Linked DNA regions of Mus musculus: all the other regions are reported to be linked to region 5. Evidence: microRNA targets listed by miRTarBase, many of them from high-throughput screens and not tested one by one. Region 5 holds a microRNA gene; each other region holds the end of a gene's coding sequence.

Region 1 (6,092 bases), not on the chromosome of region 5:
CCTCTGAGCAGTTGCCAGGCCACTAATAGGGCCCAGATGTGCCCAGAGGTGGCCCTGGCTCCAGACCTGCCTGCTGGGACACTCACCCGGGGGTGGCTTTACAGCCAGTTTATTTCCTGGAATGATTTTAAAGAAAATCCCAAGGGAAGAGCTAATGGCCCGGCCAGATCCTGCAGCCCCGAGCCGAGCCGCATCTCCCCAGGCCCAGCTCGAGCTTCGGTGGAGACAGGGGCTTGTTCTTAGGCAGGAAGCCAACTGTCCAGCGCAGTGAGAAGGGCTGTGCTGAAAGGGCTCCATTTTAGGACCATTGCAGCAAGTGGGTTCTTTGTTTGGTTTTCAGAGACAGGAGCCCAGGTTGGCCTCCAACTTAGGAACTTGCCACGGATGAGCTTGAACTTCTGTGCTTCCTTCCTTCCTTTGACTCAGAGTACTGGGATCACCTGCAAGCACCACCTCACCATGCGGCCCCAGCGGACGCAGTGCGGGGACCAAGCCCAGAGCTTCATGCCTGCTACGCCAGCACTGGACCAACTGAGGCCCATCCCAGCCAGCCCTCCCAGGACAGACATATCGCCGTCTATCATGGAAGGAAGTGAGGCACTCAGCTCAGGAACTCAAGGCAGGAACCTGGGGGCAGGAGCTGGTGCAGAGGCCACCGAGGAGGGCTGCTGACTGGCGTGACTTACTCAGCCTTCTTTCTCTGACCATCTAGGGCCACCTGCCTGTGGATGACATCACTTACAGTGGGCTGGGCCCTTCCACATCAATCATCAATCAAGAAAATGCACCACAGGCTAGCTCACAGGCATATCTTACAGGGGCCCTTTCTCCACTGAGGCTCCCTCTTCCCAAATGACTCCAGCTTGTGTCAAGTTGACATGAAACTAGCCAGCACAAACTGACTTTATAGATCAGGCTTGTCTTGAACATACAGAGATCCACCTGCCTCTGTCCCCCAGGAGCTGACATTAAAGTTGCCTGCCATCACACCTGAGTTTTATTTTGTTTGTGTGTGTGTGTTTGTTTGTTTGTTTTTCTTTTTGAGATAGGTCTTGCTATGTAGCTCAGGCAGACCTTGAACTCCTGACAATCTTTTTGCCTTAGCCTCCAGAGTGTTGATGTGGGCCACCAGGCCTAGAAGGCCTGTACTTTTAAAAAATACTAATATTGGGCGCACGCCTTTAATCCCAGCACCCGGGAGGCAGAGGCAGGTGGATTTCTGAGTTCAAGGCCAGCCTGGTCTACAGAGTGATTTCCAGGACAGCCAGGGTTATACAGAGAAACCCTTTCTCAAAAAACAAACAAACAAAAACATAAAGAGCACTGACTGCTCTTCCAGAGGTCCTGAGTTCAAATTCTAGCAACCACATGGTGGCTCACAACCATCCGTAATGAGATCCGATGCCCTCTTCTGGGGTGTCTGAAGACAGCTACAGTGTACTTAAATAAATAAATCTTAAAAAAAAAAAAAAAACTAATATCACAGGCTGGGGCTGTAGCTCTGCAGTCAGCCATAGAGCACTTGACCAGCGTATATGAGAGTCTGGGCTATCTCTCCAGCACCACAAAAAACCACAGTGCTTATAAGCCCTTCAAAGCCCTTCACACAGAAAGCAAACACTCCTCTCTCTCTCTCCCTCTCTCTCTCTCTCTCTCTTTCCTTTTTTTGAGGCTAACCTAGTCTACAAAGTGATACCTTCTCTTCAAAGCAGGGGATAAGGGTGGGGTTGGCTTAGATTGAAACTTCATTTGTAGGATTTTTGCCTGGAATACACAAGGTTTTGGTGCTCTATCCTCAGAAGAGCACAACAAGACAGAGTTGTATACATCTGTTATCCCAGCACTTGGGAGGTGGAGGCAGGAGGGTCACTACTACATGAAGACTTTGTAGCTAGCCTGAGCTACACAAAAGCCTGCTTCAAAGATAATGCTTAAATAAATAAATAAAATAAACGGTGGCCGTGTTGGTTGGCGCATGCCTTTAATCCCAGCACTTGGGAGGCAGAGGCAGACAGATTTCTGAGTTTGAGGCCAGCCTGGGCTACAGAGTGAGTTCCAGGACAGCCAGGGCTACACAGAGAAATCCTATCTCGAAAAAAACAAAAAACAAATAACAAACAACAACAACAAAATGCTTAAACAAACAAACAAACAAAATAAATGATGGCAGTGTTGATTGGCGCACGGCTTTAATCCCAGCACTTGGGAGGCGGAGGCAGGTGGATCTCTGTGCCTTCCAGGCCAGCCTGGTCTACAGAGTGAATTCCAGGCCAGCCTGGTCTACCGTTTGTTCCAGGACAATTGGAACTACATAGGGAGACCCTGTCTCAAAAACAAACAAATCTAAAACTCAAAGAAGGCCTCCCCTCCCGCCTCCACCCTTGATTCTCTCACTTCTCCTTGGCTAGTTTGGCTGCCTGCCTTCTCCTAGAGACAGCCTTTTCTCCTCACGTTGTCAAAAGCTGCACATTTCTGTGAATAACCCTTTGCAGTCCCCACCCCAGTTCTTCCCACAGAAGGCTGTCTGTCTGTCTACTCGGCCCCAGGCTTAGAGAGGTTCCTTCTGGGACAGCTGTGTCCTCTCTCCCATTTACTGGGGTCCAGGACCAGTCCCAAGGAAGCGAGGAAGGCCCCAGGCTGGGTGGGCAGTAAACTACCCAGCCACCATAGCCCTGGCCCGAGCCCTTTGTCACCTGCTATGCCACCTCCATTCCTTCTCCTAGCTCTAGTCTCTGCCCTGCCAGGCGGCCTATGGGACCTTGGTCCCAGCTGCTGTCTCTAAGCCCCTTGGCTGCATTCTGGGCTGAGGTTCCAGAGAGGCCCTGATCTCCCTCTCCTCCTGGCTTTCTAGTGCCCCCAGCCACATGGTCTTTCTCAGGACAGCTTCTCCCAGCCCCACAGCCTACTTCCCCTCCCCCAGGATTCTCCCATCCCTCTTCCTCCACCTCCATCCTTCCCATCCTCCTCCTCCCTCTCTGGAATGTCAACCCTCCCGAGGGCTCTGGATGCCTTGGTGGGAACCCTGCCTGCTGCTCTCAAGTCTTCCCGGCCTCTCATTCCATCCTGGCACTGCTGCAGGCGAGCAGTGTGTTTAATTGCTTGTTTGTTTTCTGTCTCCCCGACTAGAACAGAGTTCCTGAGCACAGTGACTCTTCACAGGGACTGGCACACCCCGGCTCACAGTACCCACTGAATGACTGAAGGAATGTTTCCTCACAGCCTCTCCAGAGACAGGCACTGTTGCCTCGGATTTCTAGAGGCAGAAACTGGGGCCGAGAGCAGAGAGACTCTTGCTTGCTTCTGGCAGCGAGAGGTGAGAGTCAGGGCCAGGAGCCAGGCCTACCTGACTCCCAGCACGCTCAGAACCAGGCTGACCAAGTCCTAGGCACTAGACCTGGGGCCAGGCCCTCAGCGCTGAGTCTGGTCCTGGAGGCCCATCCCATCCCTCCAGGCCCGGGGTGAAGTCACTCACTGTTCAACCTATGTGGAGGAACCTCCTGGGGACACAGTAGGCCTTCAGCTCGTTGATGCCCAGCCCCCAATACCACCTCACCAACCTCCCCTTCAGGGAGGCCTGCCACAATTTGGCGATTGTTAGAGACTTTTTTTTTTCCTTTTGGGAGGAAAGCTGTAAGTCATTAGGCTGTTCCCGCCTGCGGGTCACCATTTCCTGTTTAGAAGACTCATCTCTCCTTTGGAGCTGGAAGCTCCCCACCCCCCAGCCGGGTTGGAGCTGGGCTGGCTGAAGCTCCCAGCCGACGCCTGCTCAGCTCCCCACAGGAAACTGGCACCTTCATCACCTTTTGTGCTTAGAAAGGACACTCATTTTCTCTCGAGCCCCAGGAGGCCCTCAGAGTTGAGGTCACCAGCACCAACTAGCCTGAGGTAAATTGCTCCAGCCCTGGTCCTCCAAGCAGGAAGCTGTATGACCCCTACCCTTTGGCCTGGCTTCTCACCCTCCTGGCTCCAGCCAGCCCATTTCCTTGCATCAAAGACCATTTGGTACCCAGCAGCCAGACAGAGGTGTGGGCCTGCCTGACAGGGAGGCGCTTGGGAACAGGAAAGACATCCTCCCTTCAGCTGGGAGGGGCAGCTAGCTCTGCCCCAAAGACCTGCTATGGTGGAGCCAGAGCTCCTGGCCAGGCTGTGGCTAAGCCCCACAAAGCACCTTCCCAAGAGAGCCCGAAGAACTAAGAGTTCAGGAAGCTTGCACTGTACCAGAGTGGGACAGATACCAGGCCAGGCAGCCCAGGCCCCAAAGTTCACGACTAGTTAGAACTCCAAAGCACAAGACTTAAGGCCCTGCCCCTCCCTCCTGGAAGTCCCTTTATGGTGCCCCCACCCCAACACTGAGCACTTTTTAGTATATAAATTAACCATTTTATTGAATATCAATAAACTGTACATATTAACTATACAAAATGCTGCTTACAATATAAATACCTTTAAAATGTAAACATCTTTCTCCCGGGGCCACCTGTTGGGCCCCAAAATAGTTCTGGGAGACACATTGGCCAGGCTGAAGCACCCCACTTGGCCCCTAACAAGTGATGGCCATTATTCATGGTCCCTTCTGAGACAGTTAAACTGCTGTGAAACAGGTGTCACCAGGACAAATGGGGGCGGGGGCTGAAACAGTTGCCCAGGCCCAGGGGCACCTGGACATGTGTCCAGTAACCACCCTGCTGAGGCATGGTTACAGCTGGACGGGGTGGGGGGGAGGGGAACTATTGCATAGTCTGTTGTACCTCAAAGAAGGTGGCCTGAAGGGTCCTTGAGGGAGGTAGGGAAGTGGGGTCCCCTGAGCGGGGTTCAAGCTTCCCAGCCAGTGGGTTGGCTTTAGTTCTATGGCTCGAAGCAGCTGTGTCCAGAGGCTACACCTCATGAATACTGAGGGGTAGGAGGCTCTGGGCGGGTACAAAGGCACTCCATCAGCCACCTGCGGCAAAGGCCACCAAGAGAGCCAAGCAGGAACCAGGTCCAGACATGGACGCCACAGGTCCCCGGACCAAGGCTGGAAGGAGTCCTGGCAGTGAGGAGGAGGGTGAGCTCCGGGAAGATGCCAGCGAGGATGGGGAGGTAGCAGGGTCAGCGAGGGCCTCCGGAGCAGCCAGACTCTTGGTGCTTGTGGAGCAAGGACATGCGGGAGAAGGTTCGGGCACAGGCCTGGCACTGGTATCTCTTCACATCCGAGTGGGTTTGGAGGTGGGCACGCAGGTTGGAGCGGTCAGCAAAAGCACGGTTGCAGTGGGAGCAGGAGAATGGCTTCTCACCTGGGGAGAGATACCAGCAGGGTTAGGAAGGCCTGGACAGGGCCCGGTCAGCCCAAGCACAGCCAGACCTGCACTGGATGCGGGTCTCTGGGCTTCCTGCTGTGCAGCCCTGAACACCACCAGACTGCTGAGTCTCCAAACTCCAGGCGGGGCTCACTGAAACAAAGTCCTTCCCACCTGGCAGGCACTGAACACTTCTGATTGACCTGTCATCTGTCCCTTCTGCAGTCCTATTAGAGGTGGGGAAACTGAGGCACAGAGGTACGCAGCAGGCTCTAGGTCACCCACCATACCTCCATAGCCCGGGTTGTAGTCACTGCCTCAGGCAGGGGAGCTGCGACTGGACTTCCTATTACCAGCCTTGAATTTACTTTGATTTACTTTGTCTGGGACAAAGCTTGAGAGGCAGCCTGGAGAGGCCTCCCCACCCCCACCCAGAGCCAGCAAGGCCATTCCTCTGCATGCTGCCAGCAGCCCACCGCTCTGCAGTAAGGAAGCTCTCCTTAACTAACTGCAAGCCCAGGGGCTTACAGACATCTGGGATCCTGACCGGATCCGTGCCCAGCCAGGGCTATAAGGACACACGGGGGCTCTGTGTCCAGTAAGTGCTTAATTACATGCTGTGTAGCTGAAGACTTCTGTGGGTTTGTGCCCCCGAGGATGGCTGAAAGCGGCTCTGTTCAGTGAATACCTGAATTAATAAATGTGCTTTTTAAAAAAGGGGACCTGAGCCTGGGGGTCCATATTTGTAACCCAGCATTGTAGAGACAGAGGGAGGAGGGTCTCTGGTTTAAACCCAGTCTGGCTGAGTTAACAAAT
Region 2 (6,092 bases), not on the chromosome of region 5:
ATGGATCATATGGTAAATCTGGATATATGACTAACACAATTTAGAAACCTGTGACATGAAATACTGATCAAACACTATCTAGATTATTTTAGTACTGTGACTACAAGAACTGTTGAACACAGCCAAGGGAGATCCCTGGGCCTCTATCCTTGCCTCAACCTCTACCAGGTGCTCTTCAAGTTTTCATTGTGATTCTACTATATAGCTGCCAAGAGGCTTCCTGTTAGATGCTACTACTAACCACAATCCTATCCTATCCTGCCTCCCTCTCTCCCTCTTTCCTTTCTTTCTTTTTCCCTTTGTAGTCCAGGCTGCCCTGGAACCCATTTTGTAGACCTGGCTGGACTTGAACTCAGAGATCTGCCTGCTCTGGCCCTGTCCCGAGTGCTGGGATTGAAGGTGTGTACCATCACCAAAAAACAAGCCTATTTTCAATGCCTTGCCCTTCTTTGTTCTAGATGTTCAAAGTGAAAACCGGAATGGCTGTATCCACTAAGCCTTGGACAGGAATGAAGGAAAAAGATCTCCCATTTGAGTTCCCATAGGAGAGGCCAGAGCATGCTTTGGACCAGGAAGGAAATTTGAATAGACAGAAACTCTTCAAAGGACATTCATTTGATGAATATCTTTGTGATCCTGTTTTTCTATGTCTTAAGATATATTACACACAACACATGCACACTTGCTTTCTGTTATATCCCAGAACTTGAGATTAATTCCTATCAGTAACTACCAACCTGTCATTCATACTGACTTTTATATTTTATTTGTTTAGAGATTAGTTTTTCATATTCCTTTCACTAGACTTAAGTACTGTTAGCTTCTCCCTCTACTGCCCCTTTCATTTAACAGGTGGGTAAGAATTTTTATTTAAGCTAAGTATGTTGTGTGCTAAAGTTTTAGGCAGTGCATGCTCTACATTTTGTACATTATATGAATTTCAAAAGATACACTCTAACATGTTTGTCTACTTTTCAAATTCATACATTTTTTTTTAATCTGATGCACAGTATTTATAAACAAACAAAAATCTCCTGCAATGAGCAATGTTCATTATAAGCAGGGCTTGATACCAGGTGCCTATACTAGAAGTATATACTAGAAGCACTTGGGAGGCCAAGATGGGATGAGATCCCATCTCAAAATAAACAAAGAGCCCCAACTCCTCCCAAATCCCAGTCCAACCAAAAAAACAAAACCACCTCACTGACAATGCTATGCTTGACCACTAGTGTTGCCTCCTTTCTCTTATCTCACAGCAGTGGCAAAGGATGCTTTTCAGTGTGAGCTGCACCATCTTGACTTCCTGCCAACAGACAGTGAACTCAGCAGTCAATTCTCTGCTGATGTATTGACATCAGAGTCTACAATTCTTCAGACTGGTATAACACTTTTAATCATGTGGTGTGCAGCTCATGATGGGCAGCCACAAGGGTCTTCTTGATAGCTCAGAAACTGTCTACCTAAAACTATAGAGCAGTCACAGACCTGAGAGGCAGAACATGCACACACTGGCTCCAATGATTTTCTACACAAAGAACACAGATTGGGTTGGCAAGATAGCTCAGTGCTGAGGGAGGAGCACTTGCCAGGCAAGCCTGACAGTCTGAACTTAAGTGGAAAGAGAGGACCAACTCCACAAAGGCACTGTGACATCCATGTTTCCCCTCCAACTTTATAAGGGTCTTCTGACATCCATATGTGCTCCCCCACCATATCACGAAAAACATACACACACATAATTTAATGTTTTTTTTTAAATACATGAAAATGGCTTGTGAAGCAAATCCTACCATTCCAGAAGTGTAAAGATGCTAGATTACATAAATAAATCTATTCCCTATAAATAGATTTAGGGAATGGAGCAATAATTCCAAGTCACAGCAACACAGAGGTCTTAAAGGATATATAAAAATCAAGTATGAGGGGCTAAGCATAGTAGTGTATGCCTTTACCACTTGGGAGGCAGAAACAAGTGGGATTATCTGTGAGTTCAAAGTCAGCATGATCTACATAGTGAGTTTCAAGCCAGCCAGCTAAGACCTTGCTTATAAAAAGTAAAATTAAGTGCAATTAAAGCATCCACTTTTAAACACTATTATTACCATTTGCTCATATATTTCACCAATTTTATATAGATTTTTTTTGAACTTTGGATTCACAAAAATTCTCCCTTTCAAGTGTATTTAAATAAATTTATATTAATTCTCATTAACCAGAGACTTATCAAAAACAGTTTATATATAATTTATTCACAAATTACATGTCTGAATAAGAATGGCTCCCAAAGCTCATATATCTGAGTACTTAGTTATGAGGGAGTGGCACTACTTGAGAAGGTTAGTGGTGTGGCCTTGTTGGAAGAAGTGTATCACCAGAGTTAGGTGCTGAGGTTTTAAAAGCCCAAGCAAGGTCCAGTGGCTCTCTCTCTTTCTGCTGTCTGCAGATATACAGAACTCTCAACTACTTCTCCAGCACCATGTCTACCAGCATGCTATGTTCCCCACCATGACAACTGTTTAACCCTCTGAAGCTATAGCAAGACCCAATTAAAGGCTTTCCTTTTTAAGAGTCACATTGGTCACGGTTCTCTTCACGCAATGAACACTGACTATAGTGGATTGGGCCTAGTGCTGCTTGTACTATGTTAATTTGGGTCCCCAAAACGGTTTGCAAGAGAGTCTGCACTGGGGGACCCTGTCCCAGTTGGTATTGATTGGTCAATAAAGATGCCAGCAGAGGATGGCTGGGAAGGGCAGACAAAAGCAGGACGTCAGGATTCCAGGGCTTAAAAGCTAGGGAAGAGGGAGGAAGAGGAGATCTGCCATGCCTGGAGAGTGTGGAGGAGAGGAGATGCCATGCCTGAGAAGAGTGGAGGACAGGGAGGCATAGCTGCCATCTAGGAACTGGGACAGTGTGGTCCAGAGGGCTGCCCAGCTAGGCCCAGGGCAGTCAAGGTAGAGTACAGAATGTAGTAAGTGATAGATCAAGATTATCAGTGGGAGGTGGATTAACCACATGGAGGTTGGAAGTGGCCTAGCTGTTGCACTGTTTAAGGCATATCAAAATATAAAAGCTCTCTGTGTGTCTTTCTTTGGGAATGTTAAGCACTGAGGCTGGAAGTAGGATCTATTAATTAAAATCTAATTCAACAACTAAGATGCTACACAAATTAATTCATTTAGAAAAAATTCAGTATTATTCTGCCAATATAACTTACAGCTTTCACACAGTAGCTGTGGAAGAGCAGAATTTTAATGTTCTTTTAAAAAACAGTGTCTTGTTATGGAAACTAGACTAGCTTTGAAGTCCTGAGATTATAGGTGTGCACTTCTACCCTTGAATCTTTCATATATGCTCATTAATAAATATAAATTATTTCTTTTTATCTAACCAACTTAAGACATTTTCTCCTATGTAGAAGGTTCCAAAATAAAAAAAAAAAAAACATATAAAAGCCAAAAGTAGGTTATAGCAATTTACTTCACATAGGAACAGTATTATTTCAAGCCTATAATTTTCATTGAATATCAACAAAAATAGTCTGTACACAAAACCCAAAGGCAATCATATAGCATAGCATGTAAAATGTGCAAATATACTTTAAAATGCAATTACCGTGTAGCACTCGCAAGGTAGAACTGCATAGCAATTCTAGTTAACCTAGTAATTGTTTGCAGGTAGGCAATGCAAATGTCCAAGGCACAACTAAGAGTTGGTACACAAGTATGTGACATACACCCTCAGATCATGTATTTGAAGACATTGAAATAACACGATGGTATGTTCATATTTCATTATGTAATGAGACATTAGTTTGTCTCTAAAGCTCCATGAAATACCACACTGAGAATGTTTGTGTGGTTAGAACAAACTGCTCCCTGAACTTAAAAGTGAAAGACATGACTCTCGCTAATATTTTAAAAATTATGTATATATATGTACACACATACCCACATCATCCACAGGAAACATCCCAAAGTCCAGAAGAAAGTCATTTTCTTATTAAAGTTTCCCATTACAGTATTTCATGACAATTCTCGAAAAATGCATACTTGTTTGCTACCTCTTTTGGTCAATCTTGGCTATAAAAGACACTGCGTAGACAAGGCAAAGATGACTACTGATTTAGAAAGTCTCGAGTGCACAGTGGAAGGAGTCATGGAGTTATAAAAGCCCACTGCTTTAAAGGAATCACTTTAATCTATACAGGAGAAACCAGCCCACTAGAAACTCAACAGGAGCACTGGCTGTGCCACAAACCCCAAATTCATCAGTGCTCTGCGTTTTGCTGCCCATCCCTGAGAGTAAAGATTCTACCATTAATTTTTAATAAAGCAGTAAGTTTACATTGATAAAATGCTTAAAGATTTTTCAAGACATTTATATACCATTAGCTTTAGCCCCGTTTCAATTTCATTTTTAGGAAAAGAAAAAAGGCCTTGCTCTTTGAACAAGTACTCATGAGAATCCTAGCTGCTGTCCATGAAGCCGGGCGAGGCTCCTCGATGTCCCCACTCTGCTGTTCCTCATACCATTGTTGCTTTCCTTACAATTCGACAATGTTTGTGAATTAGAGAATTTAACAGACAGTGAAGGAAAAGGACAACACAGACTTTAGGAACACTCAAGTGACATGTATGTTTCCCTGGGTAAACGAGTTTTGCTGGAAATAATCTGAATGTCATCCAAGAAAGGCAAAATACCTACAAAAGAGAAGAAATGCAGCATAAACATGTTCTTGCTGTCTTTGTGTTAGCCTTCCTGGCCAAAATCTTCTGTAAACTTCTTCAGCTTCAACAAGTCCTGCTCATTGACTGTTGGCTTTGTGCTGGACAGGGACCGCAGCATATCCCACTGTCAGAGAAAGGAAAGAGGTCATTAACAATGGACTCAATACAGTATAAATGTCCTTCTTCGTTGTGAATTTACAGTTGCCTAGGAAAATGTGCTGTGTTATGAGCTCCTAGCAGCAACTTCCTCCTCGTTACCTACCATGCTCACTACCTCCTACAAAGACAGGCCATAGTCCAGCCACCATCTCACTCCTGGTCTAACTCTTTATCTTCAACAAGAGGTCTATTTCACACCAAGTGTAACCCAGAAGAAAAATGGTAATTGCACAAGCAATTGATAATTTAGCACAGTCTCTGTGGAATTCTGTAACTGAAGTATCGAATTCTGAAAGTCAAGACTATTAGCATTCAATAATAGTAAAACCCTCTACATTATTCTAATCCTTCTGATGAAAACTATAAACTGCATTTTGTAGTAGTATCACTATATTCCTTTTTAAATTGTACTCCTTATTACTACAAAAATATATTTCTATAAGTCACTTGGTTGTACTTAAATGGAACAGCAATGAGAATATTTTTTAAAGTTAAAACTAAGAGTGAAATGGTGAAAATACACTAACATCAGAAAGTCATTAAAATGAACGTTTCCTATAAAATTACATCACAAATGAAAAAAGGAACCACTGTAAGTTACTCTGAATTCTTCAAATCAGGACAGAACATAAAACTTACAACAATAATCTCATCTGGAAGTACTGCAGTAAGCGGGACTTCTGAGTACTCAGACAAGCACTGAGTCTGTGTCCCTATACAGACACACACACACAGCAGACTATGTCTGCTCACTAGCACATCAGTCTCCTCTCTTAATGCTCCTGTCCAACCTACCACAAAGCACTCTGAAAACTGGCAGCTAAGGCCAAAGCTGTTTGACACTGGGTGTTCACCAGTAACCAAGCAGATTTCTGCAGCACCACACTTCTATAAAGATACACCTTACAAAATAAACCGTGAAGTTACTTTAATTTCTACAATGTAAATGTACACACAATAAAAAAAAATGTTCCCAAAGTCTTATACAGTATTTGAGAAAAAGGTTAATGTTTTCAATTAAAAATTTAAAGAACTCCATGATTTAAACTTTCTATGCAGCCTAAGAAAGTAAAACAAAACAATACTATTTATCAATACTATCACACAAGAGTTGATGTTTCTGGTTATTTTTAAACATGTGCGATTCAGGACAAAACTCATATTTTAATTAAGCCCTAACAATATTTTGTGCAATATATG
Region 3 (6,092 bases), not on the chromosome of region 5:
CCTCACACAAGTCTGTGTGTGTGTGTGTGTGTGTGTGTGTGTGTGTGTGTGTGTGTGTGTGTGTGTGTGTGTGTGTTTGTACTGGATGAAATCAGATTTTTGCTGCCTCAGCAGTGTGGTTTAAATTGAAGATTAACCCTTTGACCTTCACAGTGTCAAATCACTTGCAGATGGAGGCTCCCCCTCCCCTTCCCTCTCTTGTTCTCTGTGTTCCTTTGGAATGGGGGAGAGGGAGGGACTTCTTGTCTTTCTCGCTCAAGCAAGATTGTTGTTCATGCAGCTAAAGTTAAGGGGGGGGTGGGTGTCAGGAGCCAATCTGATTAAAAGCAGTACTTGGCTAAACTCTGGAAAAATCCTGTAAGCAAGGGAGAAAGTCTGATCCTCCTGTGCTCAGTACACACAGCCCAGCGTGGTGTATTTAATGCCCAAGCTGCAGTTGTCTTGGGAGGTTCGTCTCTTGTCCCCCAGTTTGCTGGATGGCACAAAGGTGCCAGCCTGAGATCTGGCAGTGGGAGCCTGTTGGGGACCCAGTAAGGAGCCTGTGGCCTGACACCTAACGGTCATCTCTTTTCCTTACAGCACCAGCAGAACCGAGACCGTGCGTGGTGGCAGGTCTTCCTTTTCCTTCAAAACCTCGCCCTGAACAGACAAGAAAACAGGGAAGGGGTGGGGCCCTGGTGAGGCTGGACCGCCCTGGCCGGATGGATCACCAGGAATGCAGTCTGGGAGGACAGATACTGTCTTGTTAAGTTTTGTTATCCGTAACTTTCTATCCATGTGTACATATTACATGCCCCAGTGGGATCTTCTTTCCCCGTTCAGAACCTCCACTGAGGATGGGGGCCTTTGTCAAACACTGTTGAAGGAGAGGCAGCTGTGTCTGCTGGTAGAGTTCCTAAGGCTCTGAAGATGACCAGTTGGTGATGTTCTCCAGGAAGTGGACTGAGACTTGCTACCGGAGCTGGTTAAGTCAGGTTAGGCTCCCAGTACCATCAAACATGTCAGCCTTCCTTCGTGCCTGATGGATCATGGCTTTAACCCACCAGGACCCTGTCTGGGAGCCTCCTGGCTAAGATCAACTGTGCCTTGGCTAGCCCGATTCACGTCTGGGTTCCCACTTGGCACAGCCAGCGCCCACCGCATGGGCTCAGGGATTCTTACTCAGACGCTGTCAACTTCCGGAAGACCTCAGGGAGGGTCGGACTTCTCCAAGAACCCCTCAAAGGTGCCACAAAATGAATCAAACTTGAGAGGCTTCAAGTCTGACTCGGTCCTACATGGAAGCCCCTTGATTGGTCCCCAAGGGTGCAAACTACTGCCACCTTTGCTGGAGCCAAGTAGCCAGTCACCATGCCGTTGTACCCAGCGGCCTGTGCCTTTGTCAGCTCTGTTTTCAGAAGACCCTGCCAATGACTGGACTGGATCTGTCTGCATCCATCTCAGCAGAAGCACTTGGAGATGGGGTGGGCTTGCTGGGGGCGTGGGAACCCAGCAGCCATCCCACTGATAAGTTGGTCCCGGGGGAATCCTAGACCTCTTGGTTTCCTTGGAAACGTGTACCTCCTCCCCCTTACCCCCATTCCTTTTCTGTACCTAGCGGGATACAGGAAGAAGCTAGGACTGAGGCTTTGTCAGCTGAAAAGTGACTTTGGAAGTAACAGACAATGTTTAGACCATGGAAACTGCAGAGCTGACACATCTTGAATCTCCCTTTAGCTTTCAGCTAGGCCAGAAAGGAGAGTTCTAGAACCCAGCAGGACCTTAGCTGCCTGGGAGCTCCTTCCTTCTCTCCCCGCTGCAGTGCTCAGGGAGGGAACGAAAAGCAGCTGATCTTAGAAATTAAGTCCTAAGTGTTATGTATGTAAGGAAAGACATTGGTGCTATAATGAAGATGAGCCAAGGCTCAAAGAAAGATGGCTTCCCTAGACAAAGAAGAACACAGGATTATTCAAGGACTTTGGAGGAGAAACTCAGAGTAGACTCAAATTGAACAAGCCCAGTGACTCCCCATTCTGCAGAAGTGGGGGGGGGGGGCGGATTTCAGTACCATAAAAGGGCACCGGATCTCCTGGGTGTCCAGTTGGGCAGGTTTCTCCCTGCCAAGGCTACCGACAGAGGGGGCTCATAGAGGCTGAGGTCCAGCCTGTGCCCTGCTCTCTAGGCTGCACATCCTGATGTGGGCAGGGTCTGCCCAGAGTAAGGAATGTCTTTCCTAATTTGCACAAAGGTACTGTGTGCACTCTCAGTGGTCCTGAGGAGGACCTTAAGGCATGTGTATAAGCCTTTGTGTTTTTCTGCTCAGATGACCTGGAGATATTACCTCTTCTTGGCCACAATCATTTTTCTCAGGGTCTATACCATAGTTCGTCTGCTAAGAAAGTGGGTTTCTGTTTGCAAGGAGAGGGGACCCAAGTAATGAATATGAAGACTGGTTCTGAGGGTGGGCTTGATTATTTGTGAAGCCCAGCCTTCCTACATCCCACCCTCCCTGCAGTTTAGATGTGTGTGGGACATATGTGGTCTTCCCCTTTCCTGGATCAAGGCTATGACAGGCAGGCTTCTGGTATGTGCTTGGTACATGTGCTGCAATACATGTGCTTGATGGTACATGCGTGCCCCTCCCCATACAGAACCTTGTACTTCAGTTATCTTTAACATAACTTAGTAGACTTTCCATCTGTCCTAAGGCATGACTGTCAGCTTCAGCAACCTTGCTAGGTGCAGGCTGGGTACCCTGTGGCCTGAGAACTGAGCCCAGAGTTTGACCTGAACATTGAGCCTGGACCAGGCAGAAGCTGGTCAGAATGTACTGTCTCCATTTTGGGCCAAGCCGGGACCAAACTTACTAACTCAGGCAAGCCAGGGTGAAACTTAAACCCTCTTTTATCTTTAACCTGAATCCAGGCTGGAGTTGAAGCTCAATGATAAAGGGCTTGCCTGTCGGTCAAGAGACCCTCGGATGGATCCCAGGACTGTAAAATATAAATAAATAAAAATATGCCCCCTCTCTCCAACCTCTTGGAGGCAGCTGGCAGCCCAGCTCAAGGAGGCAAGAGGTTCCCCCTGGCTGCTTGCTTTAATTGGCCGGTGATCTCTGCCTGGTGAATTGGTTTTATAGTCTCTGAGTCCAGCCCCTGGACAACCCCTCCCCTTTGCCTCTCCAGAACTCCAGGAGCTTGGCTGTCTCTAGTGAAGAGTGGAGATTCAGATTCTGAGGGAGGGAGGGAGGGTCTGACCTGTGTGGTGACCTGTAACCAGCTGAAGGCAACAGGCTTTTGTGGTGTGCTGAGGATGGGGGGTGGGAGAAGAGCTGGAAAACTCTGTAGAAATGCCCTAGAGGAACAGAAGCCCTGTATTCAGGGGCCAAACTGCTCTACTAATTCACAATCCCCAGGAGGCATTTCTAAAAGCCAGTGAACAGATCTGGAGAGGAACATCCCCCAGTCCCGTCACTGACTCCCCCAGGGAGACTGGGGTGGTACGCAGGAGAGTGGGGGGAGGGTGGGCACTTTGCCTGGCCCTGTCTCTCTGTTTCAAAGTTTGGCTGTGCTGTTCAGTTGTCCCCAGTGGCCTTGTCTTGCTCAATCAGAGGTGGAAAAAGATCACCTCCCGGTGACCTCCTTCAGGCCCCAGGGGATGGGCTGTGTCCAGAGCTATGTGGCAGAGCTTGTTTCCAGAGCCCAGAGAGGCCCCGCTGGCCTGCCTTGCTGCCCCAGTGGCGAAACGCAAGCCCAACACTGAGCATGGCAGGGAGTGGGTGTTGGGGACAGTCTAGCCAAGGCCCCTGTCTGTCCCAAGCTTTCCAGGAACTAAGCAGTGAGGTCACTGTGACAGTCCTGCCTGGTCAGCGAGGAGAATATTCTGAGCTTTCCCGCTCTGGGACTTACTGGGGAGGGGGCGGGTACCAGTGTATGGAGTAACAAGACATCAGCCTTCGTGGCTCTGCAGGATTTGGGGGAATCAGTACAGTGGCCACTGTGGCTGCTATGAAGATAAGGCCTTTTGGAGACAGGCTATCCTGGCCTGATACCCTGGTTGGACCTAGAGGGATACAGGGTGGAGCCACAGTCATTTCAAGTTCCCTGGGGTTCCTGTGGGCTGCAGACCTAGGGGACAGAGCCTCAAGGAAGACAGCAGAACAAAGCTGAGCTCTTCCATATATGCCAGCTTTGGCCAAGGTGCTATGAGGTCTGTGACCCCAGGCTTGCACTGCCCCTTTCTCTACAGTTGTCTGATGTCCACCCCATCTCTGGGTTCACAGAAACTGACACGGGGAGACCCAGCGAGATGTAGCATTTCCTTCATCCCCAGTCTGGTTGGCCCGGGGTCTGGGCATCCTGCCTTAAGGAAAGGAATGGGGACCATTATTTTTTAACCTGTATATAATATTTGACCTTTTTTTGGTTCTTTATATGTATACATGTGTAAATATCCTCTCATCCATCAAGTGGTACAGTTTTTAATAAAACCATTTAAAGCAGATCTGTTCTTTATTTTTTCTAAGGTGTGTTAAAAGTACAAGAGGGAGCATCAAACAGCCTTAACGTGTTTCTCCCATGATAGCCAGAGTTACCGACAGGGGTGTTGCACTCTTGTCATGGTCTTTCACTTCTTGGAGTTGAGAAGAACAGTCTGGCTGCATAGTAGTAGAGCCACCGAAGCCCAGTGCCTCGGGACAGAGGGGCTTTGGAGGGGTCAGCCTGGGTTCGGGTCCAGGCTCTGCCTGCCTCAAAGCACTGAAGGGACTATATCACAGGCCCCACCACCTGTCACCCAGCAGTGGCAACCTCTGTGGTGGTGATGAGCCTCCTGCCTTTCTACACACAACCCATGCCCCTGGCAGGCTGAAGCCTAGATCCCTTTTACCAGGGTACTATGGTAGCATAGGCCTATGCTCCCAACTGCTTGGGAGATGGAGGCAGGAAGATCACAGATTAAAGCTATAGAGAGTTCAAGACCCTGTTGTAAAAGGAAAGAACTGGAGACTGTCACTTGGTGGTAGAGCACATTCCAAGCAGGCCTGAGGCCTCAGGTTCAATCCCCAGTTCACAAAGATAGGGGTGGAGGGAAAGGGGATGGCTTAGGGAATACAAATGCGTACTGTACTGTAGCAGGAACTATTAAAAAACCGGCACCACCCCGAGCTATACCCAGCTGCTCTCTTCCCGTGGACAGAGGAGAAAGGAGGAAGGAAGGATGATGGAAGAAGAGGGAGAAGATCCAGATTGCTCATGTGGCTATCCCATAGATAGCCATAGGTAGCTAGGAAGGTCTTATAAGGGATGGATAATTTCAGGACAATTTGTCTTATCTTATCTAGGTGGGCAGTTTATATCAATATCAATTGGCTCTGAGTTCATTGTGTGGGCGTTTTGCGGGGTGAGAATTTACTGATACAAATCTGTCTTATAAATTCCAAGCCTCTAGAGTTTGGATTTTACTGGGTTACTGGGATTCGGGACCCCTGACCACAGTGGGTGGGTGTCTGGGAATGTGAGCAGAATCCGCAGCAAGAGAACCAGGATCGGTCACCAAATGGGGCTAGCCTGGGGTGGAAAGACCTCGGGAAGAGAGTAGCTGGATATAGCTCCGGTGGTGCCGGTGATTTTTTTTAAATAGTTCTCGCTATACTGTACCAAGTATAAAGACCTAAGTGTGGATTTGTTTGTTTGTTTGAGACAGGGTTTTTCTGTATAGCTCTGGTTGCCCTGGAACTCATTCTATAGCTCAGGCTTGCCTGAAACTCAGAGTTTCTGCCTGCCTCTGCCTCCCGAGTGCTGGGACTAAAGGTGTGCACCCCCAGCCACCACAAGCCACCAGTTAGCTCTAAGTATGGATCTTAGGGACCCATTCCAAAGGCCAGGAGCAGAGGCACTTTCTGGGAGGCAGCAACAGAAGATCTCAGGGGCTTGCCTGGACAGCCACTCGTAAATGAATTGGTAAACTTCAGCTTCAATGACAGACCCTGTCTCAAAAGAAAAATTAGATAAAAAATTAGGGGCTGGAGGGATGTATCAGTTGTTAGGAGTGTTGGCTGCTCTTCCAGAGTACCTAATTGGTTCCCACTGCCCACACTGGGCAGCTGACAACGG
Region 4 (6,092 bases), not on the chromosome of region 5:
TTTGAAGAGTCTGCCTGGACAGGCTGAGCTCTGTTCTATCGTAGCCTAAGCCGCCACAGCCACTGTGAGAGGCTACAGAGGGAAGGGGAGCCTGGCACCGGGCGCAGCCGCCCGGGGGAGTAGGACCCTGTTGCTCTTAGTTTTGAACTTTCTGTTTTGTCTCTTGCCCGTCCGGTTTTAGTTCCTGAAATTAAAGAAGTGGTGAGCCACAAGTACAAGACGCCAATGGTGAGTATGCGTCCCAGCCACAGCAGGCCGAAGCACGCAGGGCTCCCTGGGAACCTTCCGGCAAGAAGGGTGGACCCTCGCGGGGGACTAGATGCCAGGGGTTCAACTCAAGTCAAACACACCTTTCATCTGGGGTACATGTGCTGACCCCCCTCTCTCAGGAGAAAGGCTTCCAGAGACTTGCCTGAGGCTCACTCAGCCCAGGGGCCTGCACTAGTGTCAGGGCAGGCCTCGTACTCTAGGCTGACCCTCTACCTAAGAAGGAGTCTCAGTGTGGCTGATCCAACGGGTCTTCTGTTCCCTGCAGGCCCACGAGATCTGCTACTCTGTGTTGTGTCTCTTCTCGTATGTGGCCGCAGTTCGTAGCAGTGAAGAAGACCTTCGAACCCCACCTCGGCCTGTCTCTAGCTGATAGAAGGGTTCCACAGCTGGCCAAGCCCAGGGGTCTCCCCTCACCTCTTGCTGCTCCTAAGCACCGAAGCTGCTGGACTGAGATGGGAATGTGTGTGTGTTCTCAGCAAGTTCCTTCCCACGGTCTAGCTGGTCTTCTCTTACGTCTGAGTGTCTTTGTGTTCATCTGTCACGGGGCTAAGCTAGCCTCATTACTTTCTCTTCCTACAATAGCAGACTAGCCTTCTGTTCCCTCAGGGCTCCAGAGTGTGTGTGTGTGTGTGTGTGTGTGTGTGTGTGTGTGTGTGTGTGGTGTGTGTGGTGTGTGTGTCTGTGGGGTCACTGTGAGCCCACTATTGCCTGTCCTTGAGATGTTTGCACTGTGGTCCCTTGTCCTAGTCCTTATATCCTCCAGTTTAGGAGTCTTCTCTCTGTCCTCTATGATCTGGCACTGTGGGGCACCTGGGACAGTTCCACTCTGGGAAGTGAAAGACACCTGGGGACAAATCTTCCTGGCTGAGGGCCTGGGAGGAGGAGGGGAGGTTCAAAGGAAGCTCAGTAAGTGGTGGGCGACCTTCCTGCTTCCTCACAGTTTCTAAACTGTGGGTGCATGTCATGCTGCTGCCTGCCCCAGCTCCATCGATGGGTGTCCCTGAGTGGCTGCCATGTGCCGAGCTGGGATTTGTGCAGTGGTCTTCCTGGCCTTTGGCATGAGAGGACGGAGGAATGAGGTGATGGTGTCCCAGACAGCACCAGCTGCTCTGCCTAAGGGCCGGGGATAGGTGGGTCAGGGCTGAGCTGAGCCCAGAGTGCACGCCTGTCTGCAGGCAGAGTCTCCTGGCTTCAGTGCCAGAAGAAAGCTATGGACTGGATAGGAGGAGAATGTAAATATTTCAGCTCCACATTATTTATAGAAAAATGTACAGCTGTGTGATGTGAAATAAATGTCCTGAACTCCACTTGGGCTCCTGTGCACTCCTCTCAGCCCGGGCCTGAGGAAGGCTGTCCCTAGCTCATCTGCATCCAGCGTTGGCATACTGAGAGCCTGCCCTGGCCTCCTGCCTCCTGGGCTTCCTGGGGTGCCAGAAAGGAACACCTACGACACTACGGCTGTAAAGTCCTGAGATGTTCTGGGCACTAGAGAGGAGGTGACTTGGGCATTCACACCTGAACAGCTTGATAAAGAAGTCACAGGAAAACAGGGGTACTGCTCTGTGACCCTGTACACGTGTGTTCAGATGTGCTGTGGTGACCTGGGCCTCCCAAGGGCCTTCGGACCAGGGTTCTGTAAAAAATAAAGTGGTAACCCATGTCCAACCCTCATGGGCTATCTATGCCATGGGAAACCCTGGCACCTGTGGGCAGAATACCCAGCACACTGCCATGACACTTCTGAGACCTGCCGGCCACAAGATTTGTAAGGAAATGTGGTCTCTTGGGAGGAAGTCAGAGAAGGTTGTGATTTCCTGTGTCTGAGCTGCATGGAGTCACTCTGTCCCATGAGATGTGGTCGTGAGCTGTGGGCTCTTGGAGTCTTGATGTCTAATACAGTACAGGGCTCTACTGCCCTGTCCCCCGTATAGCACCCAGCTGGTGTTGCCTGGGTTACTGGCATGAGGCCCATATGCCTGTGCCTCCAACGGCTTTCACTTCCACACTTCCTCACCTGAGCATGAGGGTGGAGGGAGGCTGACATCCTTTCCAGTGCTGATGTCCCACAAGTCCAGGACACTGAACTGGAGAGTGGGGTGACCAAGCGAATGCTGTATGCTTTCCCATGGACATGAACAGGAGACATCAACCCCCAGGAATGGCACAGATCTTTTATTGCTCCTACACAATGAGCCAGCCAAAAGGGCCTGTCCCCAGTCACCACTTCTGAAGCCCACACACTTTATGCTCCCAGTATTAACATTATCCTTAGGGTCAGTTTCTTCAGAACCCAGCAGACCTGCCTGGTGTCACTGCTGGCCAGTCCTTCCAGGATGCACAGTTGCACACACACATGCAGTAGCAGAAAAGGGTGCTCCTCCAACTCCCTTCCGGTCTGGTACACAGCCTGGCATCCATTTGTACCTGAGACATAGGCTGCCTTGTGGATGAACTGTGGCTTCTTGTACCCCCATTTCCTGATAGCCACCCTAGGCCCTTGGCCTTAGGTGGTTTGGAATACGTACCTAGCCATCTCTGGGGAGCCATCCTGGTCACTGAGGAACTGTAAGAGGGAAGGAAACCATGTGATTCCCTAGTCTTCCAAAAGCCAAGATCCACTGAACATGTCAGGACCAGTGATCTAGCAGCCAGAGGTACTCCTTGAACCAGGACAGCAGAGCCAAGCCCAGGGTCCATGGTGCTGTCCTGCTTTCTCCCAAGCCCTGGCCCAGAAGGCTCCTTACCTCGCACCTCCAGGCGGCACTCACACTGTGCCTCGCCCTGCAAGTTGGTGGCCCTGCAGACATAGACACCACCATCATAGGGGCAGGGTTTCCTGATCTCCAGGGTCAATACTCCCTGCTTGCAGAACATGCGGAAGCGAGCATCTTCTCCCAGATCCAGGCCATTCTTGAACCAGGAAATCTTGGGCTGAACATCAAGTAAACAGAAGAGAAGGAGAGCATTTTGGTGATGGAAGAACCGGTGAGAATTCAGAGAGACTATTCTAGAAATTCCCACTAGAGCACCAGACTCAGCCAGAGGCTGAGAATGAACAGAGAGTCAGCAATGGGGGATTAGGCTCTGCTCAGGGGAAAGACAATATAGACTGGGGAGAGTTAACCATAAGGAGCCTAGGAGACCAGCCTCCTGTCAGTCTAGCCCAGGACCTTGAGTCCCTACCTTAGGACTACCTCGGACAGCACAGCAGAGGATGGCATTATAGCCTGCAATGATGGAGCGATTTGCCAAGGGCTGGGTGAAGCTTGGGGCCTCAGAGAAGTCCAGGGCCTTGTATTTGGGTGGCTCATATGTGATGCCTGTTGGTGACAAGTCTTGGTACCAAGAAGGTCACCCCAAGTGAGGCTCCCCCTCCTTCCCCAGATTCCTCACAGTGTGAGGGAGGGTACAGCACCTGGTCTTGGAATAAAGACTGGCTCCTTGGTGGCGGCAGCTTTGTCACTGGAACCCACCATGTTATGGCTGAAGACCCGGAAGTAGTAGCCATTGCCAATGATAAGCTCTGATACCACACAGTGAGTGCGTCGGTAGTGTTCCAAAACCGTGAACCACTCCTGGAGGATGGTGAAGGAAGGGAGGACTCTCTGAGGGACCTCTGCCTTTCTTGGGTACCCCCTGTGCCACTACCCCTACCATGCAGGAAACCAGAATAATGGATTGGGGGTGAATGGTAAGCACAGGGGAGGGTATATGTAGACCCAGGGCCCCAGGCTCACCATGGTCTTCTTGTCAGCTTTCTGTACAGTATAACCCCAGATCTCTGTATTGCCATCATCTTGGGGTGGCTTCCACTCCAGAGCCACATTGAAACCCCAAGTCTCAACGATCCGGATATCCTGGGGAGGACTTGGCTTGTCTGCAGGAGACAGATCTGATTGGCACACTGAGCGTTCTGAAGTGACCGAGCAGAAGCAGGAGCCTGTTAGTACCTAGAAGGCCCTCCTTCTAAGTGCCCTCGGCAGGAGCTCTGAGCTGGGCTCCCAGACACAAGGTCAGGAGACAAGGGTGCTGAAAGGGAGGTTCCGGGCCCACATACCCACAATCTGCAGGATCAGCGTTGCCTTGTCCTCCATGTTCTCAATGCGAACTGTCACCTGGTAGGTGCCCGAGTGGGTGCGGCGGGCAGCTCGGATGAACAAGATCGTGTCTGTGGGGCTGTTCCGGATGCTCACCTCCTCACCTGCCAGGGGCTGCCCCTCTTTGGTCCAGGTCACCTGAGGCCGGGGTTTGCCCTGGGGGAAGATGACCAGCCCAACCCTGAGCTTGACGCTCCGAAGGGGCAGGTTCTGCACCAGCAACACGTGGATGGAGGCCTCAGGGTCTGCAGCCTTCAGGAGATCCTTCAACTGTGGTTTCTTCTTAGGGACAGGGAAGGAGTCAGCCTACCTGGAAAGGGATGAGGAGGTTCACAGGCTCCCCAACTTTCTTCTGGATGGTCTGGCGCAGGTGTCTGGGCAGTTGGAGCCGTGGTCGTTCTGTGGGTAGAAAGGAGGCAGCTCACTAACAGCCCTTCTGTAGCCCAACCCTAAGGATTCCACAGGTCCATTCTCTCCTGGGGCAGGGTCCAGAGCACTATAGCTGAGAAAAAAGTTCCCATGGGCCAGACTCTCCTAACCCACAGCAATTGCAGTATGCTCAACACTAAAAGCTGTACAGTGAGCTTCGATATATTACTATCGTGTGTGTGTGTGTGTGTGTGTGTGTGTGTGTGTGTGTGTGTTTCACTTTTTAGATTTATTTATGGACTTATGTGCATGAGCATCTAGCCTGCATGCATATATGTGCGCCATGTGTGTGCCTGTGTTTGTAGAGGTCAGAAAAAGGCAATGGGTCCCCTAGAACTGGAGTTAGAAATGGTTATGAGCCACACATATGTGTGCTGAAACCAAGCCCTGATCCTCTGCAAGAACAGCAAGTGCTCTTAACAGAGAGCCCATCTTCCCAGCCCCTGTGTTATCTTTTGAGGGGGAGCTCATACAGCCAAGCCTGCTACACATCCCTCACCCTCCTCCAGCACTACAGGGTGGGGGCACGGGGGCACGGGTGTGTGGGGGCGGGGTGCCACTGTGTTCAGCTTCAGTTCAAGATGGTAAGGAAGTTATTTGGAGCCACAATTCTTGAAAAATGTAAGCAAAGGCTCTGATTCTATGCTTGTCAATTTGTTGCTTCCCTCTGACCTAGAGAACCAATCCTTCTACCTTTGTTGAGGTAAAGAACAGAATGAGCCAGGTGCAAATGGCACATTCCCAGCCCTCAGGAGTTAGAGGCAGACAGTAAGTTTGAGGCTAGCCTGGTCTACATAGTTCCAGAACAGCCAGGACTATGTAGAGAGACCCTGTCTCAAACAACAACAAAGACTAACAGAAGAATGGGAAGTGTATCCCAGACGACCCTAAATGGCTCCGAAAAGCCTCACTGTTCAGTTCTGAGGACAATACCTATGTGCTGGAGTACCTGTTCCAGAATTAGGGACTGAACCAAGAGAGCCCAAGGCATAGATGAAGGCCCTGGCCCTTCCTGCCCCAGCCCCTGTCCCTGCCCTTGCCTACTAAAGCCCATGTCCCCAGCCTGTCTTGATTGGCAAAGGGTGGCCAGTGGCAGGCCTTTTAGCAGAAGGGCACTCACGCAGTATCTCCTGCACTGTCACAGGCTCCTTGGTGACGATAGGGCCTCCAGGACCTGCCACATTGTGTGCCCGTACTCGGAACAGCAGCCGTGCCCCAGTGGGTAGGTCCTTCACCAGCATCGATGTGCGCTCTGTCAGCCCCTGCAGAGCAGGTGTCCACTCGGAGCCTGGGTGC
Region 5 (6,092 bases):
ATGACAGCAAACCCTTCGTCTCTTGGGGGGTGGCTTCTGTTTTTTCTTGTGCCCCCCTCTTTCTCTCTGCTCTTTTTCATCATCCGAAGTATTGCTTATCATTATTGAGGGACATTAGGCTGATCAATAAAGTATGCCTATAGCTGATGAATTGGGGGGGGGGGATACAAATGCTTCAGGAATCAGGAAAATGCCTGCCGCGGAAGCCAAGGGTTTGGCTGAGCGGAGGAGACTGAGTGAGTGGCTTTCCAAATCCCAGGACCATAAGTGGCAAATTAGTGCACATTGCAACCGGAGGCAACCGGCAAAACTCGGCCATTCAAAGGCAAGAGTTTTAGCATCATGGTCATTGTGTGCCTGAAGAGCGTCTATGTATCTTAAATATAGACTTGAGTTGTTGCTCTTTTATGCTTTCACACACAAATTTCAAAGAAATGTTTGGGGTGTTGTTGACTATCTGCCCATTTAAAAAAAAAAAGAAGAACAGGAGAATTTCACAAGCAGCCTCACCTGTGCTCATCCGCACTCGTGTGTGGATGCCAAACAATTGGCCAAAGAACCACACTGCACCAGAGGTCTCACTTCTTCACATTCACCATCTTGAACGTGCTCCAACCCCCCACTTAGAAAATGGGCTACCTGAACTGTTGATCTAGCAAAAGAATATATATTCATGTACATATATAATATATAATGTATATATTACAATGTCTAGTTTCCCCTGACCTGATGGTGTATTTTTGATCTCATTAGTAGTCAGGGAGATGTCTCCGTGCATCCGGTGCTGCTAGTCCGGGAGGAGACATGCTACAACACAGAGAGAGCAAGCTCGAGAGAATTTTCGAAGAGGCTTGTCTTCAAGATATGGAAGGAAGTGAGAGATGACAGCCTGCAAGCTTTGTATGCCAGTGCCTGGCAGGGCAGGGGGGGGGGGAGATGCGAGGGAAGCCAAGTGGATTCTCAGAAAAAGGGGGGAAGCCATCAAAGAGCTAAAGGTGATTAGAGGGGGATATCGATTCCTTACTCTGCCAGAGGTTTAAGCAGGCATGAGAGGAATCTGTACCATGGCTGGCAGAAAGAGACCCATTGCCTCTTGTAACCAGACACTGGGGCTTTCCAGGAGCCCAGGGAGAGAGCCGAGAAGAAAGGGGGCAGTGTGGTCTAGGAAAATTCAACTTGTCGCTGATTTGTGCCTGATGCTTGCTGTCCGTCAGCAGCCTCCCTTACAAGCCTTTTTTCCTCTCTCTCCTTTTTTTCTCCCCTTGCCTTCTTCTTCAGTGAAGCCTAGGGGAGCCAGTAAAGATTAAATGTGCTTTCTCAAAGGCAGCCACTTCATGCTGCTATGTCGAAAGGGCTATTATTATTATTAATATGAGAGAGAGAGAGGGAGAGAGAGAGGGAGAGAGAGAGACTAGGTATGGTGATGACGGTCTGGCTTTTCGGAGAGCAAAAGGGAGAGAAAAAAGGAGAGACCATGAGCTGAACCAAGGACTGTGTATGAGCTGAACCTACAGAGGTGAGGAAAAAAAGAAAAGTTTTGTATGTGTCTGTGGTGTGTGTCTGTCTGTGTGTGTGTGTGTGTGTGTGTGTGTGTGTGTGTGTGTGTGTGTGTGTTGGGGAGGTGTTCTAAACAGACCATGTAGTGAAGGAAAAGACACGGTTTAGCGGGCTGGCTGGCTGGCATGATTGTAGTTCTTCTGGTGAGGAGGGGGTGAGCCTGGAGCTCTTAACTGTTTCTAGTTGTATATGAAAGCATATTTAAAATAGTTAGCTATTTTCCTTTTCTTTTTATTTATTATTATTAATTTTTTTTTATTCTGAGTCTAAGGGCCCCCTCCAGTGTCTTCCTTACAGCGGTGCTTTGTTATTCTGTGTGCCCAGCCAGCCATCTACTTTGCTCAGGCCTGGGATAAAAGAAAGAAAGGAGGGGTGAGGGGAAAGAAAAATTTTTAAAGAGGCATCTTCCCATAGGCTTCCCCTCCCTTTCGTGGTGTTTTTTTTTTTTTTTTTTTTTTTTTTTTTTTTTTGAGTCTGCACAGGAAAGCGCCGCTTCCAGGCAGAGGAGGTTCGAGAAAGCGACTCTATCAGGTACAGCACTAGTAGCTGTCTGTGAAGATGGAGGGGGATTACGCCTCGGATTCTTCTGAAATATTGGCCAAAGGCTTCAAAGGATCCGCAGCGGGAGGCGAGGGTGGGGGAGCATCTCCCCAGCTCGCACCCACCCCTTCCCACTTTGCGTCTACCAAATGACAGGCTGGTGCTCGCTCTGGGTGATTTTGGCCTTGGCCTCAGCCAAGCAGCTGATGCAGAGGAGGGCCAGCTTTGCAAGACTGACAGAACTCTGAATGCTAGAGAAAGAAGAAGAAAAAGAAAAAGAATTTTTTTTTTCCGAGCAGTCCTTGGGAGATTTTCTCGTTCTCTCTCGATTTATTTATTTATTTCTATTTTTTTTAACCGACTATTTTCCAAATTCGATCAGCCCCAGCCCCTCCCTCCACTCCCACCCAACAGCCTTCCCCCCACCCCCCACCCCCGGTCAAAGCATAAACCACAGAGTTACGGTCTTCTTTGGATTTTGGAGTATCGCTTCCTGCCCCCGCCTTCCCTCCCCGCCCCATTCTCTGTCCTATTGAACACCTCGCCCAGCCTAGAGCTCACATTCTCCCCCTGCTCCCGATGGCGCTCCTGGAAGCTCTGCAACTATGCTCCACTTCAAATGGGTGAGTTTAAAAAACCTATCTTACCTCCGATTCCTGCTTCCTGCTTCCCGCAAACCCCATCTCTTAGGATTGTTGCATGAGGCACGCTTGCCCTGGGGGAAGGCAGATGCATATTTTCCTCTCCGCAGTCAATCGTGCTAGTTAACAAATGAACGGTTTGAAGAGATGTTTAATTCCAATTGTAGATCGCTTCTTTTCTTTCCAAATAGAACTGGACATTTCTGAGCTTATTCATATTATTTTCCAATTTGGTAAATGATTTTACCCAAAGCTACAAAGTTTCCTTTGATACAACAGACATTTATATGTTCAGGTATATATGTGTGTGTTGCATATACAGGGCTGTATGGAGACAGAAATGAATCTAAATTTTGTGAAGGGGAGAGGTGTAGGGAGCCAGGATGTAGTCACACTGGACCACCTGTTTGCTGCATTTTACTCACGAGTCTGCAACCGAAATTGCCTGTCATTTTTATTTTATTTTTGCTTTGTTTTGTCTCAAGAAAGAATGAAGGAATCGTGTTGCGCTCCCCTCAGTCCCTGAGACCCTAACTTGTGATGTTTACCGTTTAAATCCACGGGTTAGGCTCTTGGGAGCTGCGGGTCGTGCCTTTGCATCGCTGAAGGAACTTTTTGTCTTTTAAGGAAGAGAGAGACAGAGAGACAGAGAGACACAGAGAGAGAGAGAGAGAGAGAGAGAGAGAGAGAGAGAGAGAGAGAGAGAGAGAGAGAGAGAGAGAGAGAGAGAAAAGTTTGTCAGAAGTGATGGTAATACACCCTTGAGGCTTCCATTGTTAGATGGGATCAGGTGACCCGAGTGGCAGCTCCTGGCTTCTGTAAAAGTAGGCATAGTATGTTAGCATCCTGTGTTGGCTGCTATGGACGCCTGTGTATATATATGGCTGATACCGAGGCTGGCGGATCTATTCCTTGAGAGCAACACACAGTACTATCGGAGCGTAATACCAACAGCTCAGTACCTGGTGCTTGGCCTCAGAACATCTCAGCTGAAGTCCCAGCATGCCCCATGCCTCCAACTTTTAAGCTCAACAGTTAATCTCAAAATTGTGCCCAATTAAAATGGGCATGGGAATGTATTCTATCTGCATTGTCTACGTGTGTTCTGTTACCAGACAGAGGTTTCACTGACGGAGGTATTCATACACCTCTAGTCTGGACGAAATGAAGAGGTTAAATATTCAACTCTTGTATTCAATACAAAGGAAGGGAATTAAGAGATCAGGCAAGATAAAATACGTGTTACTTTGAAAGATTTTGTGAGAACAAAAATGGAAGAAAGAATTCTCCCTCCTTGGTTTGGTACTCTAAAAATGTTATACATGATGGACTTTAAAGTAAAGAACGATAGATATGGATTTTCTAAATATTATGGAGTGAAAGAAATAGCTGGGTGAATTTGGTATTGTTGCATTCTTTGTGGGGGGTCAATCAATGCTCATGGCTCTCTTTTAGAAATTAGAAAGATGGCTATCAAGGATGTTAATTCTACCTGACAAAGTTATTGGTAATATCAAACCCCATTTCAAAATAATCCCCTCTCGAGGCGATTGTGAGCATTTCCTACTTTGTAGTTTTCTGAGATTGTAACTTTCCATGGCAGGGGGAGTCCCACACCTCAGTTCCACCTCACACTGGGAGAGAAGGACGAGGTGCTTTACCTTGTCTTTGTTATAGAAAATTCTGGGTGTGTGGTTTCCTTTAAACCGTTTTACTCTCCTCAGCCCAACCTTTCTCTTCATTTTTGGAAAAAATACCTAAATCAACCCAGACCCCCAATGCTTTCTTCTTGGAAAGATTTTGGAATAGCCTCATTGTGCACACGGAGTGGAAGGTGAAGGAAACTGTTTGCGATTTCTTTTTTTTTTTTTAAGCATTTATCGCAATTTGACTCATTTTAATCCAAACTGCAGTCAAGAAAGCATTTTGTATCAGAACGCTGAACTGAGAAGTGTGTAACAACTGTGCTGTGTCTTTTGTTGAAACCTCCTGTGCGGCTGTAATTTAACTATTACTTGGCAGCATTTGGTGGAATGTGCTTCAAAGCTTACAGTTCTGTAAGTGATTGCCCGTGAGTTTATATAAAATAATTAACGATTCCCCACCCCATTTCAGCCAATGCGTATGTATAGCTATGTAGAAATTATGGCAGTACAACAGTTTAACTCATGGGCAATATATATACTCACATCATACATGCAAAAGACCGGCAGACATTTGGTGCTTTTGAAGGCAAGATATGTACGCAGCCTATCTGATAGAAAACGGGTGCATGATCAATAAAGCTATGATAGCTGTAATTTCTCTGTGATTTCAAATGATCGGAAGACATAACTAATAGCAAATGTTTCGGTTTGTACTCTGGGGCACTTCTCTTTTCCCCAGGCTTTCTAGTGGATTCCTCCCACTCTCAGACTAAAGCAGGGTGCTCAGGCATTCAGCAGGGCGTGTGACACACAGGTTTTTATATTTTAGCAGGCAACTGCTTCATTGCAAGGGCAGGTTTCTCAACAGCCCCTCTTCCTCATGGAGCCCATCAGTGAAGTTCAGTGAAATGAATAACATAATTGGTGGTTGGTTCAATCACTACCAGTCTAGACTAGCCCAGACGCATCAATTAGTGGGGACTGTCTTTTTAGAGGGAGAGTGTAACCGAAACAAGCAGGCTATTATTGATACTGATCTTTAAAAGCGCAAATCCAGCCTGGCAGATAAAAAAAAAAAATAAGGCTGGGAGCTGCAGTGGGGGTGCACTGGGGGAAGAAAAGAGACAGGGAACTGGAGCTCAGGGCGCAGGAGGACAGGAAGCTGGAGAGAAAGGGGGGGATAATGAGTGGAACGCTCTCCTGTGCCTCCTAGGAGCACAGTTAGAATTCAGTTCACAGGGCTCAGTGGCTCACCATTTTTTACCTAGCTGAAACACACAGACACAGACACACACACAAAACCACCTCCTTTTTAAAAAGTCTTGCTTTTTTTTTTTTTTTTTTTTGGTCTGTTCAAAATCAATGCAGTTGAAATTTAACAGCTTAAGCAAGCCCACTGATAACAAGAGGAACCAGCTGAAACCCGTTTTGCAATATCTTGCCCCTCAAAGAAAAATACAGAAAATGCTTAATTTTCAAATCTCTAATTGCTCGCTTCCTTCCTTCCTTCCTTCCTTCCTTCTTTCCTTCCTTTCTACCTTCTTTTTTCTTTCTTTCTTTCTTTCTTTTTTCTTTCTTTCTTCTTTCTTTCTTTCTTCCTTTCTTTCTTTCTTTCTTTCTTTCTTTCTTTCTTTCTTTCTTTCTTTCTTCTTTCTTTCTTCCTTTCTTCTTTAAGGAGGCATGCTAGAGAAACAGTAACTCATTTTAA

The links. Region 5 holds the annotated microRNA mmu-miR-125b-5p (UCCCUGAGACCCUAACUUGUGA, at 3,258-3,279, shown strand). A microRNA usually pairs through its seed, bases 2 to 8, with sites in the 3' UTR of a target mRNA and lowers its output. Matches are read on the target gene's strand: a 7mer-m8 pairs with bases 2 to 8, a 7mer-A1 pairs with bases 2 to 7 and ends in A, and an 8mer does both.
Region 1: miRTarBase lists Snai1 as a target of mmu-miR-125b-5p. Seed matches in the 3' UTR shown: 7mer-m8 at 4,800-4,806.
Region 2: the mRNA of Vps4b is a reported target of mmu-miR-125b-5p. Seed matches in the 3' UTR shown: 8mer at 4,299-4,306 and 7mer-A1 at 3,879-3,885.
Region 3: miRTarBase lists Bmf as a target of mmu-miR-125b-5p. Seed matches in the 3' UTR shown: 8mer at 1,147-1,154, 8mer at 1,188-1,195, 8mer at 1,804-1,811 and 7mer-m8 at 2,345-2,351.
Region 4: the mRNA of Madd is a reported target of mmu-miR-125b-5p. Seed matches in the 3' UTR shown: 7mer-m8 at 872-878.

What each region holds. Positions count from the first base shown.
Region 1 is chr2:167,541,080-167,547,171 of GRCm38, reverse strand. Snai1 (snail family zinc finger 1) reads right to left here. Exons shown (of 3, transcript NM_011427.3): 3 at 4,358-5,273. The coding sequence ends at 5,089. Among named protein-coding and RNA genes, the nearest start is that of Snai1, 5.9 kb to the right of the region's middle.
Region 2 is chr1:106,767,692-106,773,783 of GRCm38, forward strand. Vps4b (vacuolar protein sorting 4B) reads right to left here. Exons shown (of 11, transcript NM_009190.2): 11 at 3,097-4,857. The coding sequence ends at 4,756. Among named protein-coding and RNA genes, the nearest start is that of Kdsr, 11 kb to the left of the region's middle.
Region 3 is chr2:118,527,147-118,533,238 of GRCm38, reverse strand. It overlaps Bmf (BCL2 modifying factor), which reads left to right. Exons shown (of 5, transcript NM_138313.4): 5 at 580-4,482. The coding sequence ends at 681. Among named protein-coding and RNA genes, the nearest start is that of Bmf, 19 kb to the left of the region's middle.
Region 4 is chr2:91,132,845-91,138,936 of GRCm38, reverse strand. Madd (MAP-kinase activating death domain) reads left to right here. Exons shown (of 35, transcript NM_001177720.1): 34 at 182-228; 35 at 536-1,577. The coding sequence ends at 640. Mybpc3 (myosin binding protein C, cardiac) reads right to left here. Exons shown (of 35, transcript NM_008653.2): 27 at 5,917-6,084; 28 at 4,678-4,766; 29 at 4,328-4,523; 30 at 4,008-4,147; 31 at 3,686-3,845; 32 at 3,454-3,590; 33 at 3,015-3,201; 34 at 2,796-2,833; 35 at 2,421-2,694. The coding sequence ends at 2,823. Among named protein-coding and RNA genes, the nearest start is that of Mybpc3, 18 kb to the right of the region's middle.
Region 5 is chr9:41,578,683-41,584,774 of GRCm38, forward strand. Mir125b-1 (microRNA 125b-1) reads left to right here and starts at 3,244; the gene lies at 3,244-3,320. The region is part of intron 4 of Mir100hg (Mir100 Mirlet7a-2 Mir125b-1 cluster host gene); the gene reads left to right. It overlaps Gm51670 (a long non-coding RNA gene), which reads right to left and starts at 964. Exons shown (of 2, transcript XR_003948129.1): 1 at 511-964.